2 linked regions of the Macaca mulatta genome follow. The protein of the gene in region 1 interacts with the protein of each later gene in a biochemical or structural test. Links are inferred from orthologs where the notes say so. Each region holds a gene or a part of one and is shown on either strand. Other genes may lie near its edges.

Region 1 (3,500 bases):
GGCAATAAAAGTTGAAATGCCTGACCAAGGACAATGGCTGGTCAGGTGCCATTGTTCTCATCTTTTACTTTTAGATGTCCCTCAGTTTGTTAAGTTAGTACCTACATAGTGTCCTGAAACTTGTTCAATTTGTACCTACATAATAGATTAAATTCAAAATCTCTGCTTAACTGAAAACAAAAGCAAACTTCTTTTCAGAGCCAGAATCTGGAATCATACTTAATAGAGAATGATCTTGTACAAGTTGGATCATCTCTTTAAGTAACGGTTTCTCAAACTTACAAGATTATTGTGAGAACTAAATTAGTTCTAAAGTGTTTCCATGTAAAGTGTATGTAAATGCTTAAAATATGTAGTAAGTTCTGAATGCATATTACTAATAATAATCTTTATTATAATGTTTACTATTTCATGAGAAATGCTTATTTTAATACTGAGCAAATAGGAAGAGTTCATGGCTTCTCTATGTTTTTGAAGTGTCATTTAATATATTATATATATATATTTATATGTATAAAACATATATATATATATTTCAGTTACACATTTGTCCAAATACGTTTACAAATTAAAACAAAACAAGACAAAGTTCTCACACTAGTTATTTGTTATAAAGTGATAGAACAAGTGATATGTTATAAAGAGCATTTATTTCTCATGTCTTTGGTATTAAAAATAGTTGTATTAACTTTGTATCAAAATGATTGCTTCCTTCATTTAAATCTAAGAATTATTGCTGTCTGATAAATATTGGAGAGATTAACTGTTTTGAAAATATAGAAGCTCTTTGTCTTTTTAAAATAGTTGTTTTTGGCAGATGTTAATACATTTCGGCAGCACAGTATGGCCTTTTTCAGGTTAAGGTGCTGAGCCCAAACCTCAAAGAATCACTGCAAAAAGATTGGATCACCCCTCTTCACCCCATTTCATAATTTAGTTAGTGAGAACCACAGCTGGGTAAACCTTTGGGGGGAAATTATCAAATAAAACAAACTCTTTTTAGAAGTTTACAACTTTTATGTTAGGAAAAAACAAACACATTTGTGAAAAGCTTAAAATCCAGTAAACGACTTGAGGGACTTGTGGTAATCCTAGGGTGATGAGGAGCAGGTTAGCAGCAGTGAAGGACTTAGCACCCCAGGGGGCCAGAGGCTGTAATATACCTTACGAGCAAGTCATTCTTATTTAGTCTTGCCCATTAAGAAGTCTACTTGGACTAAATGCTTTTAAAAATGCCCTTTTAATTTACTATTAAAAGAATATTCCTAGCAGAAGTAGTCTTTGATGCTAAATCATATTTTAAGAATAACTAAAATTAGAATTTTGTTCTTTTTATAACACTCATTACCTACACACACCCCTACCTGGTGTGTCAGAGTCAGTTTGTACGGGCTCACCAAAGCCTACTGTTCAATTTTCAGGAGTTTTGTAAGCCATTTGATGTCAGACAAGTGGCCTGAAGTTTGTTATGGTGGCAGTATTTACACCATGAAAATTGGCAACTGCTACAAATAGAAGTCTTTTTCTTCTTCTCTTGGAGAGCCACTTGTTAAACACTTACCAGCTCACCTGTGCTTGAAAGTATTTCTTCAAATAAAATGAAAGACGGTTAGCTTTGAAAATTTTTTGTATAAAAGTTTACATGGGAAAAAAATAAACTAATTGTTTTTTCTTCCCCCTGTGTTTTCAGGGATACGAAAAGACCGAAGAGGAGGGAGAATGTTGAAACACAAGCGCCAGAGAGATGATGGGGAGGGCAGGGGTGAAGTGGGGTCCGCTGGAGACATGAGAGCTGCCAACCTTTGGCCAAGCCCGCTCATGATCAAGCACTCTAAGAAGAACAGCCCGGCCTTGTCCCTGACGGCCGACCAGATGGTCAGTGCCTTGCTGGATGCTGAGCCCCCTATACTCTATTCCGAGTATGATCCTACCAGACCCTTCAGTGAAGCTTCGATGATGGGCTTACTGACCAACCTGGCAGACAGGGAGCTGGTTCACATGATCAACTGGGCAAAGAGGGTGCCAGGTAAGAATGCGAAGCTCAACTTTTAAGAGTCAATAGCTTTTCAAGAACTGGTTGTGATGTCATGGGAGAAATAGTGGGGAAAAAAGAAGCAATAACACGTTATGTAATAGGTTTCAAGGTTATAGGAGATGTGTTCATTTTCAGTATCAATACACTGTAATTTTTCTGGAGATTAGGAAATAATATTTTAAAATAAAAATCCAGAAGACTAAAATTTTTAAATTGACATAATTTATTTTTAACCCATCTTATTTACCAGAAAGATTTAGGGTGGACACTACATGATAAAACTATTTGATAGTATATGTTCACATTCGCAGAAACTTGTAACACTAAATGATCTACAAAAGTTCTTAATATTAATGACCTTTGTTCAAAACATCTCAATTATTAATAAAACAATGTTATCTTAAAAAGATTGTTAAGATTGGGTGTGGTGGCTCATGCCTGTAATCCTAGCACTTTTTGGGGCTGAAGTGGGAGGATTGCTTGAGCCCAGGAACTTGAGGCCAGCCAGGGCAATGTGGCGAAACCCTGTCTCTACAAAAAATTTTTAAAAATTACCTGGGTGCAGTGGCAGACACCTGTGGTCCCAGCTACTGGGGAGGCTGAGGTGAGAGGATGGCTTGAGTCCAGGAGGTTGGAGCTACAGTGAACCGTGTTTCTGTGGAGTGCCACTGCACCCCAGCCTGGGTGACAGAGCAAGACCATGTCTCAAAAAATAAACACCAAAAAAAAAAGTTAAGAAAGATCTTTATGGATTAAAGAGATAATAATAAGTTTACTTACTGAATGCCAATTATTTATCCAACCTGGTGTATGCTTAGTATTTTAGCAGAAAGAGAAAGGCAGTGGAAAAATAAATTAAGGTATCATCCCTGAAAGAAACTTTTAGAAAGACGCAGTGGCTGAAGTGATATCTTGTTCCTTCAGCTGATTCTCTCAGAACTGGTGTTATAGTAAAATTGGACTGTTACTCCTGTTGTTCAGGGAGAAGAACTCAAGTCTGTATGGAAACAAGACTAGAAAATGGCTTTCTCCCTGCCCCAGTGTATCCATTCAGGAGCTAATGTAGATGAACCAAGGCAAGAGGAAGTTAAATTTTTTTCTGGGCTTATAGACTCAATGAGTGATAGATTTAGTTGGAGTTTTTCTCATTTGGTTTCTTTTAATAGATGAAATTAATTGTTTCCTACGAAGCATGAAATGTTTAATATGAAACTAAAAAATGTGGAGTTTGTACTTGCATTTCAAGGGTCACTGCTGTGTTACAGGCCAAGTGAACTTATGTCTGGCCTTAGAGAATCTTACATGTATTTGCATCTATCAGCATATAAACATGTGGGCTGTAGAATAAGAAGCCAGCAGTACGAGAACCCAGCCTTGTTAGAGGCCACCATTTTGGTGGTTTGGGTGGTTATTAGGTTACATGGAAGCATGGAGAATAATAGGCAAATGTAGGTTTTCAATGTCA
Region 2 (4,008 bases), on another chromosome or scaffold:
AAGATCATCAACCACAAAACACAGTTGTTCTTTTGTAGCTCATGCTAGAATACCCTTTGTTCCATCTCCTTCATCTTTCTGATCCAAAATTTAGTAGCCTACTACATTTCACCCACCATCCTTTCCTCCAGCTATGGTAGAGAACTGCTCCTCCAACTTTATGTACATTTGAATCACCTGGGAGTTCTTGTGAACTTCGGGGTCTGATTTAATATGGACACCCAAAGAGTCTGCATTTCTTATAACTCTCATAAGAAGCTGTGGAGTACTCTGAACAGCAAAGTACTGGAAGTGCTGTTTCTGTTAGTATCTAAACTATTAGTCCTAATCTCCCATTTATGCTTTGGCACTCATTCCCTCCTGCTTTCGCTATCTTAATATCTATCACTCCTTAACTGTTCCCTCAGGTTCCCTACATAGTTTATCTCCACCCCTCTAAGCTGCTCAGTATCACCCATTAAAGAACTAAACCAAAACAAAACTAGAAAACCCTCATTTAACCCTTCACTCCCCCTACATACCATCTGATGTGTCTCTCATCCACAGTTAAACTTGGAAGAATTGTCTGCTTGAGGATGCCATTTCATCATCTCCAGCAATCCTGTACCCACTTCAATGTTATTTGCAGGCCCATTACCCCACCAACACAGCATTCACGAAAATTATCAATGACTACACACTGAGAAGACAAGAATGACATTTTCAGTTCTCCTCTAATTTGAATTTCTCAACAGCATTCAATACTGTTAACTACTCCCAATATTTTTCCACATTGTCCTCCATGACACAACACATAATAGTCCCCTTATTATCTATTTTCCTGTCTATTGAAAAGACTTCCCCCCACCCCAAAAAAGGTCAAGAAAACCCCTAGCCTGCAAGTCTCAACTGAAATCTGGCCTTCTGAAGCCTCCCCAACTAGGAAAATATATAGTCCCATTGGTTGTCTACCAGTTAATTGTAATTCTTAGCCACAAGTCAGCTGAACCACCGTCTCTCAAACAGGCGAAGTTAAGCTCTATATTTGGCATATCTTGATATACTTTGTATAGTCTAGCTACAATGAGTTTGCCTATGCACGAAGATGGCTACCGGCGGGGGGGCGTCGTTACGTCCTGCGTCATCACGTGCCGGGATGAGGGTGGGGCCCTCAAGGAAGATGGAATGGAATCCAGATGGGCGGGGGCAAGCAGGACGGGGCGGGGCTACGCTGGATCTGGGCGGGGCGGGGCCGGTGAGGGGTCGGGGGTGCTTGTGCTATTCAGCCGGTGCGCGCGGCGGCGGGAGGCAGCGGCTGGGGAGTCCCCTCGACGCTCTGTTCCGAGAGCGTGCCCCGGACCGCCAGCTCAGACCAGGGGCAGCTGTGTAGCCGAACGTAAGCTAGGAGCAGCCGGGACTGGTGGCTGGCCCCCGAGCTCCGCAGGCGGGAAGCACCCAGGATTTGGGAAGTCCCGGGAGCAACGCGGCGGCGCCTCCCTCACCCAAGGGGCCGCGGCTACGGTCACGGAGCGCGGCGGCACCGTGAGCGACCCAGGCCAGGATTCTAAATAGACGGCCCAGGTTCCTCCTCTGCCCGGGCCGCCTCACCTGCGGGCATTGCCGCGCCGCCTCCGCCGGTGTAGACGGCACCTGCGCCGCCTCGCTCGCGGGTCTCCGCCCCTTGCCCCCCCTTTCGGCGCCAGGCCCGGGCAGCTCACCTGGACTGGCGCGGGCTGCGGGAGCCTGCGGTAGCCGAGGCGCGGAGGCGCAGCGCCCACGCCACTGTCTGGAGAGGACGCAGGTGGAGCGGGCGCGGCTTCGCGGAACCCGGCGCCTGCCGCCGCCGTCGTCCCGGCAGACACCAGGTCCCGGGGACCCGGCCGCCAGTGCCCGGGGAGTAGCCGCCGCCGTCGGCTGGGCACCATGAACAGCAGCAGCGCCAACATCACCTACGCCAGTCGCAAGCGGCGGAAGCCGGTGCAGAAAACGTGAGTGTCCCGAGCGCGTCCTCATCGCGGGGGCTGGGCGCACAGGCACGCGGGTGCGGGAGGCAGCCCCACCCCGCCCCCAAATCCCTGCGATCCTGAGGATTAGGTTCATTCCCGGCACTGCCCGTGGAATCGAGGTTTGGAGGCCGGTCGGGAGACCGAGGACTTGAATTCTCGCGTTTTCAATGATTGCATTTTAAAAATTGTCCTTCCACCCATCCTCTTCCCCCGCACCGGTGCATACACACCCTCTCACATTTGTAACTTTGTTCTCTCTGATTTGGTCCTGATTTGTTGACAGCTCTGATCTGCCTTGGGCTAATGGATTAGTTAGTATAAACCTGTCTTGAAATCTCCTTCCACTTTTAATATCCGCATGCGTTAGGTTAGAGGACAGTCTTAATTCTCATTCTTGGTAGAGTTTGGTAGGGCGAGATGTTTTAAAGAGCTAAACACGTGCTGACTTTTACGAAGGGGCTGAGTGCCTCTAAAGGTACTTTTTGGTCCCCACCTACTGGCTTTCTGTTGCGCTCTTATTTACTTATTTGGCAGCAGTTTTGTAGCGCTCATCGTGACCATATCGGTAAAGTGGATAGACGTGGTAGCAGGTGGGAGTGGATGCAACGGACAGGATACGGTGGAGGATTTGTATTCTTCAGACATCTTTTTCGGAAGCTTGCTTATCACTTTTGGGGTGGCTTTAGAGTCTGTAACATAAAAGATTTAGAACTGCATTTGAGAGTGGTTTTCATTCTTAACATTTACCTCTAATTATTTTCCCCTTCAAAGTTTTGTTCTAATTGAGTGAGTACAAACTTGCTTTTGTCGTTGTCAGTTGATTTTGGTGGAATATTTGTGTGAGATGGCAAATACTTTATTTTCTTGTGTGTCAGAAAAAAGTATCCGTGCTGGAAACTTTTCCTGTTGTGTGGTGGTTGTATTCATGTGTTTGTTCCAATTTTTTTATTTCTAGTTTTATCTCTGAGTTGCTTTACCTGCATGTTTTTCAAGTTTTCGTAAACAATTTTAAGAACTCTTAAACGTCCTCTCAGACCAAATCAGAAGTGTGCATTTTGCTTAGACTCCAACTGTCACTAATGGGAACCAGAAAAATAACACTTTAAGATTTACATTTAAAACCAGTTATTGGTTTAAAGTTTCATTCTAAAATTTTAGTTTCCTTTCAGAATTTCAGTTATCATAGTTCTTCAGAACTAGACTTGTGAATTGGCATTAACAGAGGATAATAATCTGTAAATAGACTGATTAAAATATGGAAGTTTTATGATAGAGTGTGTTTTAAGGGAATGTTGTCAAACCAGCAGTTTTTCTACCTTGGCAGTTTGAGACATCGGTTTATAATACTTTTAATTTTGTAGAATGATTTCTTATATTAAAGTATGTTTGTCTTATTTGACATTGTCCTTCATGGTTAAAGTTGGGAGGCATCACAAATGTCTGTTCTATGTGTTTATTAATGCAATAATATACTTAGCATCATATATAATAGGGACGTCATAGGTTTTATGTGTATAGTGAGAAAACAGGAAGCTTTCCCTGATGTGTTTTTAAGATACTGGGTTTCAGTTAGGGTGTTATAAAAGGACCTGGGTGGCTTTGTAAACAAAAACAAATGCCATAATTTTGTATTCATTATACAGTTTAACATTTATGGATTTTAGTTACTTTGCGTAAAATGTACTTTTTATTAGATTATCCTAATATACTTTCTTAGTCTTTAATATGCTTGTATTAATTTCTTACAATATAACAAAAGTATTTTTCCCATTCACCCACATTTTATTTTGTTAGCATAGATGTTTATCAGATCTCTACTGAGCACCATATATTGCTTCTAATCATACAAATGCCTTAAATATCACCAGCTTCCTCTGTAAGAAAAGGCTAGTGCTGGTATTTTCTTTATCAAGTGAAAGTGTTTATATAAATTATTTTTACCTGAATGAAAAATTGTTAACTTTATAATGCAGTAAATCAAAGTTTATTTTAGAAATGAAGTCATTAAACTTGATATTGAATT

Evidence for each region.
Region 2: the proteins of ESR1 (region 1) and AHR form a complex in vitro, tested with the Homo sapiens proteins (4 studies listed by BioGRID, with this or other methods). The link is inferred for Macaca mulatta from reciprocal best matches to the Homo sapiens genes ESR1 and AHR.

What each region holds. Positions count from the first base shown.
Region 1 is NC_133409.1:70,668,829-70,672,328, forward strand, and holds part of ESR1 (estrogen receptor), read left to right. Parts: intron 1-1,690; coding exon 1,691-2,026; intron 2,027-3,500.
Region 2 is NC_133408.1:110,968,386-110,972,393, reverse strand, and holds the start of AHR (aryl hydrocarbon receptor), read left to right. Parts: upstream 1-1,208; 5' UTR 1,209-1,697; coding exon of another isoform or gene 1,698-1,902; coding exon 1,903-1,967; intron 1,968-4,008. Other genes in the region: uncharacterized protein LOC106997514, read right to left, coding at 1,698-1,925. UniProt on the Homo sapiens protein: Ligand-activated transcription factor that enables cells to adapt to changing conditions by sensing compounds from the environment, diet, microbiome and cellular metabolism, and which plays important roles in development, immunity and cancer.